3 linked regions of the Arabidopsis thaliana genome follow. The protein of the gene in region 3 interacts with the protein of the main gene of each other region in a pairwise test. Each region holds a gene or a part of one and is shown on either strand. Other genes may lie near its edges. The genes, in order: AT1G10650, AT3G05000 and ERF13.

Region 1 (4,786 bases), on a different chromosome or scaffold from region 3:
TTGATTTCGGACACGTTTGATTTGAGACAACTTCATCTCTGTCCGAGACGCGTATTTCCGGTTTTAATTGGCTATTTACCGGTTTAATCAGTTATTTCTGGTTGGGTTCAATGCGTTGTTTAGAAAAGACCTAATATAAAAGCCAATATGGGCTTTTCTAATATTTTTCGAGCCCACTAAGAAGCAGATGCAGTCTACATATAAGACGACGGTTCATGTTATATAATTCAAAAAAGTACGGGTTGGTTTATATGGGCTGATACGCGTGGCCCATTATTTGACCTACAACTTTTTCCCTTATTTTTTTTTGTCTTAAGGACCAAATGACCCAGTAGTTGGCCCAAATAAAAGTGTGGTCTATGAATCGAAAGTAGTAGTAGTAGCCCTTCCATATCCAAAAGCAATCAGATTGTTGATGAGATGACAAAAATCGAAGCTCATGGTAACCATGCGTTTGTTTTACATTGGCTGCTTCAAGACAACTGATCCATATAAATAATTTATTTCATAACTTTTCTAGGATCTTCTAAAACAGATGCATAATAATACACCGATACAAATAAATTTATATAACAAAATATTTTTTTAAAAAGAGTATGAAAGACTTATATAATGGATTCTCTTTTTCCTTCTGTTCCATTTGGTCACAAATCAAGAAAAGAAGACTTGGACGCAAGAACTTTTCAAAGACTTGCATACAGGACAAATCTTAGTGAATACATCACATTCTTTACACAAACTCAAGTGCCGACATGGCACTATCAACACCGATACTTCCTTGACGTTGCACATTTTGCATCTCATCCTCTGATGAATCCCCATGTTGTTGTTGTTATTGTTGTTTGGATCGATGTATGATGAAGCTGCATCATCTATTTCGCTGTCTCCAAAACCTTCTTTGCCTTGATCTGCAGCAGCTATCACACTGTTGTTGTGTGACATTGCTTGTTGGAGATTTGCCTTTAAGACATTAACCACAGACTCATTGTACTTTGCTCTGTAGTGCCAATTCTGAGCTTCCATTGCCACTTGCTTTATCCGCTCCACAAGCTCTTTATTCTTCTTGTTCATATCATTGATCTCGTGATCTTTCTCTTGAAGCTTCTTGCTCACTCCTTTCTCTAATGTTGTGAGAAAAGACGCGATGTGTCTCTGTTTCATATCCCTCACACCTTTCGCCATTTGAGCTGCCTGAACCACATAAAAGCAAACAAAAACATTAGAATCGAAGAACCTTTTCACGTAAAAACAGAGCCTACATGCAGAGACAATCAGTACCTGGATCTTGATGAACTGGTCAAACTCATCTTTTTGTCTATGGAGATCAATCCGAAGACTATCATCGAGTGACTGAAAGATTGGAGAAGCAGCTAAAATGCTACCACTAGCAGAAGTCACTGAAGAATTGTGTTCATCGTCGTCATAAGATAGTCTCAGACCAGTTGAGACTAGATTCTCTTTAGGCACTTCTTCTCGAACACTAGTGTTGTTATAATTATAGTTCAAAGACATTTGAAGCTTCTGCTGTTGTCTTTGGATGTTGTTACTAATGCTTTCGGCTTCCCTTCCTCTTTTGTTAGGGCGGATCATTGGAACGAGGTTATCGTTAGCAAAGTAGTTTACTGGATCAACAGTGCATCCACCTCCCACTGCACAAAAAGAAAAACAGACAAAGATTCTAAGTTTCTTAATGATGTTTAGTTTACGACGAGGACATTATGAGAGAAAACGAAACTTACTGTTTCCGAGCAAGTGAAGCTGATTCGATCGTAGGTTTGTCTGGTATTGCAACTGGTTCTCGTTCATGAAAACCGGTGGTGCAGTGTTTCCATTGTTTCCACTTAACATCTTCCTCAAAAGTGTTATGAATGTGTGTATGTATTCGACTTTCTCGGTTGAATTAGAGTACTAACAGAAGTATAGAAACCTGCAGCTAAGGAAGAAGAAGAATAGAAAAATCAAGATTCTGACATGTCTTAAGCAACTAATCTAACACATATACTCAAATAAAAAACATGAATCATTGTCTATTTACATTTGGAACACCAAATACCAAACAGAGTTAAAAAACAGAGAATAGTAAAACGAGACAATGCTGGATCACAGAAACAGATTTGATGCCAAATCTATATGCTAAAGAGAGACTTGTGGAGAATTATAATCATTTTTACCTAAGCAATAAGATTCTTATGAATTGTTTGTCTGATAAACAGGGGATACAAAAGAGATTGATTGATTGGTTCAAAAGTCAAAGTTCCATATAAATATGCAACTTAACAGATACTGATATAAGGCAAATCTATAGGAACATGGAAAGATAACAAAAGTTCAAAGAACAAGTCATAACCCAGAAACAGAAAACCCTAAAAATATTGCAATCTTCCCCAAAAAGGAAAAAAATGATAACAAGAAGAAGAAGAGGAAAATAAAAATTATACCTTTTTCAGAGATTTCTCACAAGATTTAATCTGATTTCACAAACTCTAGTTTCCTTCTAGATCCTGCATATATATATTAGGAAAACAAAAATCATCATCAACTAAAAGAAAGAAATACTTTTTTATATAGCCCATAATTATTATTTTTGTAGAAAGAAAAAAAAGAGGTTAAGAAATCGAGAGAGACAAACCGATGATTCAGGATCTTGACAGGGAAAAAAAGAAGAAGATGCTATTGTGAAGATGAAACGGCTATAGAAGAAGAAGAAGAACAAAACCCAATAAATTTAAAGCCACAAAAAAATAGAAGGAAGAAGACAAAAGAAAGAGGCAAAAGAAACGGAAGAAGAAGAAAGAAAGAAAGGAAATGAATGAATGATGGATGTGGTAAGCAAAGCGGGTGCGATGGAGCGGGACAGTGGTGGAAGAAGTGGGGGAAGTTGGGTTGGCGATTTTCGATATGAAATTATTAATACGTTTTTTTTTTTTGAATCATTCAAAACAAAAAAAAACTTTGAGAAAAGAAACAAAAAATGGTTGATAGTAAATGTAAACACCAAACAAGAACCGTTGGTGGTGCTTTCTCGTCTTTTCTTTCGTGAGTTGTGTATTTCTCTTTCATTACGCCAACTTTTCATTATTACCTTCTTTTTTTTTGTTTTTGGTTTCCTTCTTTTTTGTTACAAATCCCATAAAATTATAGGTTTGACTGATACTATATTAATTAGAGATGTGTAATATTAGGATATGGAAATGAATAGTCAAATTTTGAAAACAATTTTGCTTAATATAGTTCGCAAAACGTTACATAACAAGTTTTACTAGATTCATCATTGATGAAGTTATATTGCTAATGCATATATGGAAGGTATATATACAACCATTAAAGATTTTGAATAAAAATAGTGAGATTATATTTTTAAAACGTGTTTATCACCAACATTGTTATTAATTAAATGACTTAATGAAATTACTAATTTAGGGTTAATTTTTGAAAAATTGTTTTGACTAAAACAAAAAATAAAAAATACAGAATAAGGTAATTTAAAAATGTGGAATATGATTAAATTTCAGTAAGGAAATAGTATAAATACCTCATTGCATGATTCCACATGTATCTAGTTTAAGCCATTTCATATCAACTAGGATTCTTTTTTTCACATCGAATATCATTTACTACGGCAGAGATTTGTCATTTTGAAACGTATCAAAATATGAAATATTAAACCATTGAAATTTTTCAGATAATTATAATTTATGTAGGGTGTTACATGTGAACAATTCAAATTGGATTCTCTGGAAGTCCATACCATGAGAGGCGTTATTGATATATATATATATATATATATATATATATATATATAATTTAAAATATTCCACCGATTAAATCAATACCACGAACGACGAACACAGATGTTGCTATGTACATCATGAGAACTATTTATTTTTATATAGAAAAATCAAACTCTGTCTCCCTAATTTTAAAATCACTCAACGACCATCAACACACTGTATTTCCTATTTTATATTTATTATAATGTAATAATAAAATGAATATACAAGATGTGAACGGAGATAATAATAATGAATAATGAATAATGGTTTCACGTCAAATTCAAAGTCAGGCAGGACACGGATTCCACAGTGTGGGAATTATGACAGTCGAAGAAGAAGGAGAGAGATGGTCAACTAACCCTAGGGGTATTCTTGTCTTTTTGACATCCCCATTTACTTACTCAAATTCATGCGACGGTAACGGAGAAGGTATCAACGAGAACGTGTCCGCCGTGATCTCAGTCAATGTTTTGGTGTGATAATAGAAAAAGGAGCCGTTTATTTGCGAGTGGGATCCACGCGCCTGGTCGTTGGGCAAATATGGCGGGTAAGTTTTGGCGGGGAAATAAAGAAGAAGAAGCCTTATAGAGTAGTTACCGTGACTTTCTCGAAACGTGGACCAGACCAAACCGTCGCACGCCAGATTTGTCGGAAGGTAATTATAGTTTACTTACTTGGAAAACTTTTGCACTAATAAAATTAAATCGTGTAAAAATTTGTTAACATTCGTAAAATAGGAATATTAATTTATCCAAATGAAAAAGAGGGAATATAATTTTTGAAAAAGAAAAAGCAAAAGGTTTTCTAGTGGTTGCAACCACACAGACGCAATCAATTTATTATTATGTGTACTATAGTTTTCTTTTGTAACGTTACACGATATCCAATTAATATTTAGTTGAGGATTTGTTATGCTTATAGCTTTTGACTATGTCCATTGTCCAGTGCATAACCTTTGCTTTTCTTTCAAGTTGTTAACAGCGATTCTCTAGGCTGAAAAAACCCTCTAATTT
Region 2 (3,834 bases), on a different chromosome or scaffold from region 3:
TAATTGTGATTGATTAACCTAGAAGTTCCTAGTTCTAAACCGTCACACTAAGACTCAAGAGTAAGCAAAACACCAACATTAGATTTTTAAACTAGACTCTATGAGCACTCAACCAAAAATAATTTACAAAACAATCAGATGATTACGAACCACGTCTCCAAAGACAGATGCCGGAACACTACCAACAAATGAAGAATCGACATAAAGATGTGAGAAATTGAAACCCTAGAATAAGAAGTCAAACCACCTTACACAGGAGTCAGATTCACAAGAACAAAAAAAAAACTAAAAATTACATGGAACGAATAGGAGACAAATTAAAACATAACAATCGTTGTCTTCTAGAACCTTAGAAGAGTGTGGATTCCAGACCTAATTCCCAAATCAGTGACTTCTTCTGAGTTTGGAAAGTTGGCTAACCAAGGCCGAGAAGAAAGCTCCACTAAACCAAACGATTTGGAATTTGGATATCGAGTTAGTTTTTTTTTGTAGTATAAATTTTTTCAAAAAGAGTTTTTCAAGTTTTCCCAAATGTACGCCTTTTTTAAAAATGATATGAAATGGAGATGCATCAGGAATTACTGTATATAAGATATCAACAAAAATTTACAACAGAAAAATAAAAGTCATTTCAAACATGAAACCAAGCCCTCACTGTTTAAAACAAGCACCACAAGGCTAAAGTGTGTCAAAAGAACAGCAAACAGAAGCCTGCAATGGGTTTTAGATTGATCAGACCCGAAGGATCTATCTTCCTTGAAAGTATAAAGCCAAGTACTCGAGCTAAATGCAGAATCAAGCCTTGACCCGAATCACGAAAGAGCCTGTGAGGACATGACAAGGATAGTTACCGAACTGAAGCAACTTATAATGACAGGTAATAAGCAATATTTGAAATAATTTTCTATCTTTCTTCCCTCCAATGTGTGATTTTGAGAATATAGAAGAAAGTGAAAGAATATAAGAATTTCGAAAACAAGCAAAGCAAGCTGTGAACTCACATGTGGGAAGGCTTGATATATCTGCAGAGACAGCACAAGGTATCCCCAAGTTGGAGAGGACACCTCTAATGATTCCACACGGGAAATAGAGGTACATGCTCACCGCTTGTGCAGCTTTGCTTTCCCCTGGAGTAGAAGGATCTTGGGTTTCATTCTCAGATGAAGGGTCAATTGAGACACGAGACAACCACCGGAACTTGTTGTCTTGTAATACAAAAGTACCCTGAAGAGAAACATTCCATCTGTGAATAACACACACAAGAAGAGTTTTGGTCTTTGTTCAGGTAAAATCCCAGTTATCTTACCCGGTGATTTGTCTTTAAATTATCAATCTGCTTCTTGAAGACCTCAGACCAGAAGTCTTTGCAGATAAACTTGATTGCCTCTAGATGGTCACTGAACCTTGGTCTTTCCATAGTGTACCTAACGACATAAAAAAGGCTGAAGTTATGCACAATCAAGTAAAATGCTAAATATCTGCCATCATACAACACTGTAAAACAGTTTTTATGTAGGCAAACACCTTCAGAAGCAACAAAACATGCCTCAACAGACTAAAATCATTCTTCGTACACACACACTATAACTAATCAGGGACTAAGAGAATCATTCTTCTGAGACAACAAGAAAATTTCCTAACCAAAACATTGCACGATTAAATACAAAAATTAGCCACTAGAGCAATGAGAAAAAAACTCGAATCAGCGCCATATATCTTCCCATCTATCACATTCTCAGCCAATTACACACGAGAAACGATAAATCCAATATCAAAGAGAATCATTGCTAACGATATACATTCGCCATCATCTTCAGATCTACAACTAATACTAGCAACCTAGAGATACAATGATCAACCAGATCGAAAGAAGACGATGATCAAGTGTAAAACAAACCTCTCGGAGAGCTGGTGGCCGACCTGATAACCAATGGCCTCGATCCTCCGAGCGGCGAGTTCCGGCTTGTTAGCATAGAATCGGCCACTGTACATCGCCACCATCTCCATTAACATAGTGTCTACACAGCTCTCCGCCACTTCTCTCCCCATTTCTTCTCTCTCTCTCAGACTCTTTCCGTCTTCTCTCCACCGGTTTGGGGCTTATGCAACGAAGCTCCGATCTATTAACTTGTAGAGTATTTACATTTAAGTCCTTAATAGTTTTCTATTATTTCTGATCTGTGACTTCATTTTTTAAAGAGTCATGATAACCTTAATCTCTGACATTTAAACCGGATCGTCTTGGTTCAATTTTCCTTCAAATACCCGATTTATACAATTATTTCAAGTGAATGGAAATTACTTTTGGTGTGCTGAATGCTGATCATTTATGGTTAAAAATCAATTTTACTTGTATAATATGAGATATAAATATAAATAAATAAATCATGATTATTGAATAGGACTTTTTTAATATCTTTTTGGTGGGCAAAAGAGAGACAATTGTCTCCCACGTTTTCTAATTTAATTAAAAAGAATAACACATTATTGATTATTAAATAGCACTTCAAAAATTTACATTTCATAAGATTGATTTTGAAATTAGATCAGCTTGTAATAAGTCTTTCAAATTTAAGATACAGAATTGAAAAGAATAATATTTAAATTCTTTAAACATCACATGTCCAATAATTAACTCTTTAAACATCACATGTAAAATCAGTTAAAAATAAAAAGGATGAGAAAAATGATAGTTTTTTTTTTTTGTTTTAGAGTGGAAGTGGGAGAAGCGATGATAATTACCTATAATACCCTTTAACTTTTGTGTAATTACTCATGTTTGCGTCAAGTGTATGGATTTGGTCGCCAGAGAGAAGAAGAAATATACGATTCATACGAATTCTGTATCGCAAAAACATCAAATCTCGAAATTGAGCTCCTTTTCTGGAACTAGGGATTGCTTTCCGCTCCTTGCGCTAAGTCTACTTGGTTTCTGATTCGTACAATTTGATGAAATGCGAGTGCTCAGCGAGATTGCGGAGTCACCGTTCGTGATTTCTCGGCTAAGCCCTGATTCGACGGCCACCGGAGGGTTTATCGGCGGATGGGTCGGGAAGTGTCATGGGTTTCTTCATAACACGGTTTTGGTTTTAGCATCTATTCTATTCGTCGCTTACTTAGCGTACGAGGCGAAGAAGAGCTTGTCCAAGTTGTCTAATCGGAGATCTTACATTATGATTGCCTATTATGGTTTTCTTTGGCTTGTTAGCTTGCTCAATCTTGCTTGGTGTTGCCTTCAGGTTTGTTAAAGTTCTCTTCTTTACTTCGATTCATTTCACAAGTAACTCATACCTATGTTGCGTGTAAAGAGATCAGAACTTAGATTGAAGAAGAATGCTTTTTAGAGTGTTTTAGGCTCTGTAAATGTAGAAACTTTGCGATCTTATCAACATTGTTTTTATTCTACACTGGTGATTAGAAAGCTTTTGTATTTTGTGTAAGCTATTAGTGTTGATTTCTTGGTTAGATGCTGCTTAACAGGAAATGTTTTACCTGATTTAGTCTTACTCCAGATTTCGTTTTGAATTTACTTTTCATGAGTTTAGGCATGGGAATGCACTCCGGGGAAAGAAGTTATTTGGAATTTGTTAACTTTGTTCACAACATCTGGAATGTTGTTTCTGGAAGTAAGCTTGGTAGCCTTTCTCTTCCAAGGAAACTATGCAAGCGGTGCTGAAGCATTAACACGAACTTTCCTCATCTCGGGGCTTGTCATTGGTCTCGATTTGCTTCTCAAGGTAGATTTGTGTTCATAACTGTTAGATACACTTTCTGATATATAGATAGATATACTTCCTTGAGGTATATTGACATGATCTTAGTTCTGCATTAGAT
Region 3 (3,416 bases):
CCCTCAACATTGCCACAACCATCTCTACCAACTCTTCCCACAATATGTTGTATTTTGGAATATTGTTTTGGGTGATAATCTAAATATTCTTATATAGGGAAAGAAAGACGTGTTCTGGATTCTATGATGGTACTTCGTGATATCATTATTAGTTTCACACCAAGAGCAGACTTTGTGTTTCCATCACATTACATACCATCATGACAACCCATCAACTTCGACTTCCACATCATGTAATGACTTTGTTTCAAACGGAAACCGGAATAACTAACTATATAAATGTCTCAAGATAAGCCTATCCAACTTCCTAAAATCTTCCAATGCTGACAATTCAAACCACTCAACAATTCCACAAATGGAAAAAGACTAGCCGTGACAAAACGATAATAAAAACACAAATCCTATGTATCCCTACATGATACATCCTACTATCTTAATTCTTAACTAATGGGCATGCTCTAAATAGACTAGTAAGCCCATGATTAGTAGAAATATAATACATCCCACATTGATTGTTACTTGCTCTATTTGAAATCTTTTTTTTCCTAGTTATATAAGAAAATAGATTATTATAGAAGTTTTACTATGGAACCGAATTTAGAAGAAAAAAACAAACGTCAATATTTAATTTCCATCACATTACATATGATCATGATCAAAACCTGTTGAGTCATCGATAGATATTTCATACAGCAAAACTCGTTGGACAAATTTTGCTTAATCTTAAAACTAATTATATCCGATTATCAGAATAAGAACATTCTGATTGGTCCATTAATAAACTACCATCGAAGTAAAACTGATCCACCGTGAAATCCAACTCCGGTACAACCAAACTAGACTCGCCGTCATCCACGTGGCTTTCCCTCTTCTGCTCCGACGTTAACTGATCGGAGACTGACGGTTCCGGCGAGCGACGGCGAGGCCTAATCCTAACCGGCTCATACTTACAAGAACCAATCAAATGCGGAAAATTCAGCTTAGCTTTCGATCCTCTGAGCTGAAACGCCGCTCGGTCGTACGCCACCGCCGCGTCCTCCGGCGTCTCGTAAGTCCCGAGCCAAACCCTAGCTCCGTTCTTCTTCGGATCCCTAATCTCCGCCGCGAATTTCCCCCACGGCCTCCTCCTCACTCCTCTGTACTGCATCCCCTTCTGCCTCGGCGCGTGTGAGCCACTCGCCTTCGTCGCCGGAGGCTTATTTTCCTCCGCCGGAGAGGTAACGGGAGGAACGGAGGGTGTCCAGCCGGAGCTAACGGCATCACGGAGAGTGTTGTAAATAGCCATGTCTTGAGAATCGTCGACACTTAACGGCAAGTCGCTCCAGTTATCGTTTAAGATAACGTTGCTGAAACTCGGGTTACGGAAGTACATCCGTGAGTTAACGCCGTTATTAACGGAATCAGATGAGCTCATAATGGATTCTTGAATGCTTCTGAACCGAAGAGAAGGTTTTTGATGAGAGTGTGTATTTTAGAGAGTGAGAGATGTTTTCTTCTTGGAGACTAATGAAGTGAAGAGATAAGTAGTTGTGTATGAGTTTATAAAGGTATGGAATGAGAGAAAGTCCATGGAAGGTTCTTTGAGGTTTTGATTTGATGATAGTTGTTACGTTCTTAGAAGATTCGTTTTCTTCTTTTTTTCTGTTCTTTTTTTGCCTCGTTCTTAAAATAGAACAGCGACAAAAATATTAGTTATTTATTTTTGTTTGGACTTTTGGTCTTTGGTCTTTCTTTTTCAGTAATATTTGTCTTTTTTTCTATAGATGATCTTGTTCTTCGATTTCTTTTTTTGTTGTTGGCTGTTCTTTGATATTTTGTAACCCAAATCATTATAAAATGATAATCCATATATACTTGACGATTTTAAATAACTGATTAAGAAATTAGTTAAATTCACTTTTTGTGGCCTATCTGTACTCACCAAAAATCCATCTATAATAAAGTTTTTTGACGAACAAAAATCAATCTACAAGATCTTAAACCTTTTTTGTTAAAAAAGAATCCACCGATTTAAAAACTAAGAAACTGTATAAACTCATATATATCTTTGGATGTTAATCAAATAATGTTTAGTGCTATATACACATAATAGGTTTTCACTCGATCATCTTTTGCCATTGGTTGCTTAAATAGAGTCAACTTTGTAAACTTTGTCAAGATTCATCAAAGTGAACAACAACAACAACAAAAAAGAGAGAGAGAGAGAGAGAGAGAAGAGCAAATATAAGTTATTGAAAACACTTGAAACGCGCAATACAACAGTGGAAGTCAAGAAAGCTATGGAAAATTACAAGATTCGTTTAGTCGTTAACGACGAGTCTAACAAAGTATATTAGTACATAATACAAAATTTTCCGGTATGAAATTGAATATAGGTAGTTAGTTACTCACCAATAAACAAAAGATTAGATTCATTCTTCGTTTATGTTTTTTCAGGAATAAAGTATAAATCCCTCCAAATTTAAAACATTAATAAGCAACTCCCATTAAAAAAATAAAACTAATCGGAAACAACGCAATTTTCACGTGCTGAATGTAATAAAATATTGTTAAGTCTGACGTCGAAAGGTTAAGTCGACCCACTGTGACTGTCAAAGACACGTTTTCTTAATTGCGACTTTCGTTTTATTCTCTCTAATCGTTCCTTTCGTTGCAACAACATCTCTACACAGACAAATGCAAATCGTTTAAATAATTATATTCAGTATTTTAATTATCGGAATATAAAAACGCCAGTCCTCTTGTTTACGTACAAAATAACAAAAACGTCGTGCACATATACGTGGGAAAGATGACGTGAGAATATTCTACTAGGTTTTTTGATAATGGGCCAAGGCACAAGTAGGTGATGCCTTGTGGAAAAGCCCGTTAAAGTCGGCTTAATCAAAAATCAAGTGGAGTAATAATAAGACCAACGTCCTACGCAACGATTTGGAGTCTTATCATAAAGCACCAATTAATCCACATGGCTGATGGCTGCTTTGGACATTAAAAAGACGAAATGTGTTATTAAAATGGATGTTTTGTTTCAACTATGGTTTACTATTTTGATTTCTTTCAACATAAGTCTTTATTTAAAGAAAATCACTGTAGAAACTATTCCTTGTTTAATTAGTTAAATACTATAGCTGAGAAGATTATAGAGAAAACACTAATCCAGTCATTAATTAACGTATAAATGAAAAAAGTGTATCATAGTATAACCTTTTATCGTTTTACCTATATGATCCCTATTCCCTAGGACTTGGCTTTTCTTTTTTGTTATGAAATGTGGGGATTTTTTGTTCATGTAGTTCCCAGCTACATGTTCTAATGAAATGAATAAAGACTAATCTCATGCTTGTTCGTTAATCATATGTATAAGTGATATAAGGTGATGATTACAATCTAGGACCTGGCCTCGAATTGTCTCTTTT

What was found.
Region 1: the proteins of ERF13 (region 3) and AT1G10650 interact in a two-hybrid assay, tested with the Arabidopsis thaliana proteins (one large-scale study listed by BioGRID).
Region 2: the proteins of ERF13 (region 3) and AT3G05000 interact in a two-hybrid assay, tested with the Arabidopsis thaliana proteins (one large-scale study listed by BioGRID).

The regions. Positions count from the first base shown.
Region 1 is NC_003070.9:3,523,471-3,528,256, forward strand, and holds AT1G10650 (SBP (S-ribonuclease binding protein) family protein), read right to left. Parts: upstream 3,062-4,786; 5' UTR 2,630-3,061; intron 2,502-2,629; 5' UTR 2,439-2,501; intron 1,934-2,438; 5' UTR 1,849-1,933; coding exon 1,740-1,848; exon of another isoform or gene 1,650-1,739; coding exon 1,279-1,649; intron 1,192-1,278; coding exon 652-1,191; 3' UTR 516-651; downstream 1-515.
Region 2 is NC_003074.8:1,386,649-1,390,482, forward strand, and holds AT3G05000 (Transport protein particle (TRAPP) component), read right to left. Parts: upstream 2,184-3,834; 5' UTR 2,050-2,183; coding exon 1,898-2,049; intron 1,425-1,897; coding exon 1,307-1,424; intron 1,225-1,306; coding exon 1,002-1,224; intron 825-1,001; coding exon 796-824; 3' UTR 527-795; downstream 1-526. Other genes in the region: Cand2 (Protein of unknown function, transmembrane-40), read left to right, coding at 2,955-3,239, 3,546-3,737.
Region 3 is NC_003071.7:18,493,438-18,496,853, reverse strand, and holds ERF13 (ethylene-responsive element binding factor 13), read right to left. Parts: upstream 1,640-3,416; 5' UTR 1,415-1,639; coding exon 734-1,414; 3' UTR 527-733; downstream 1-526.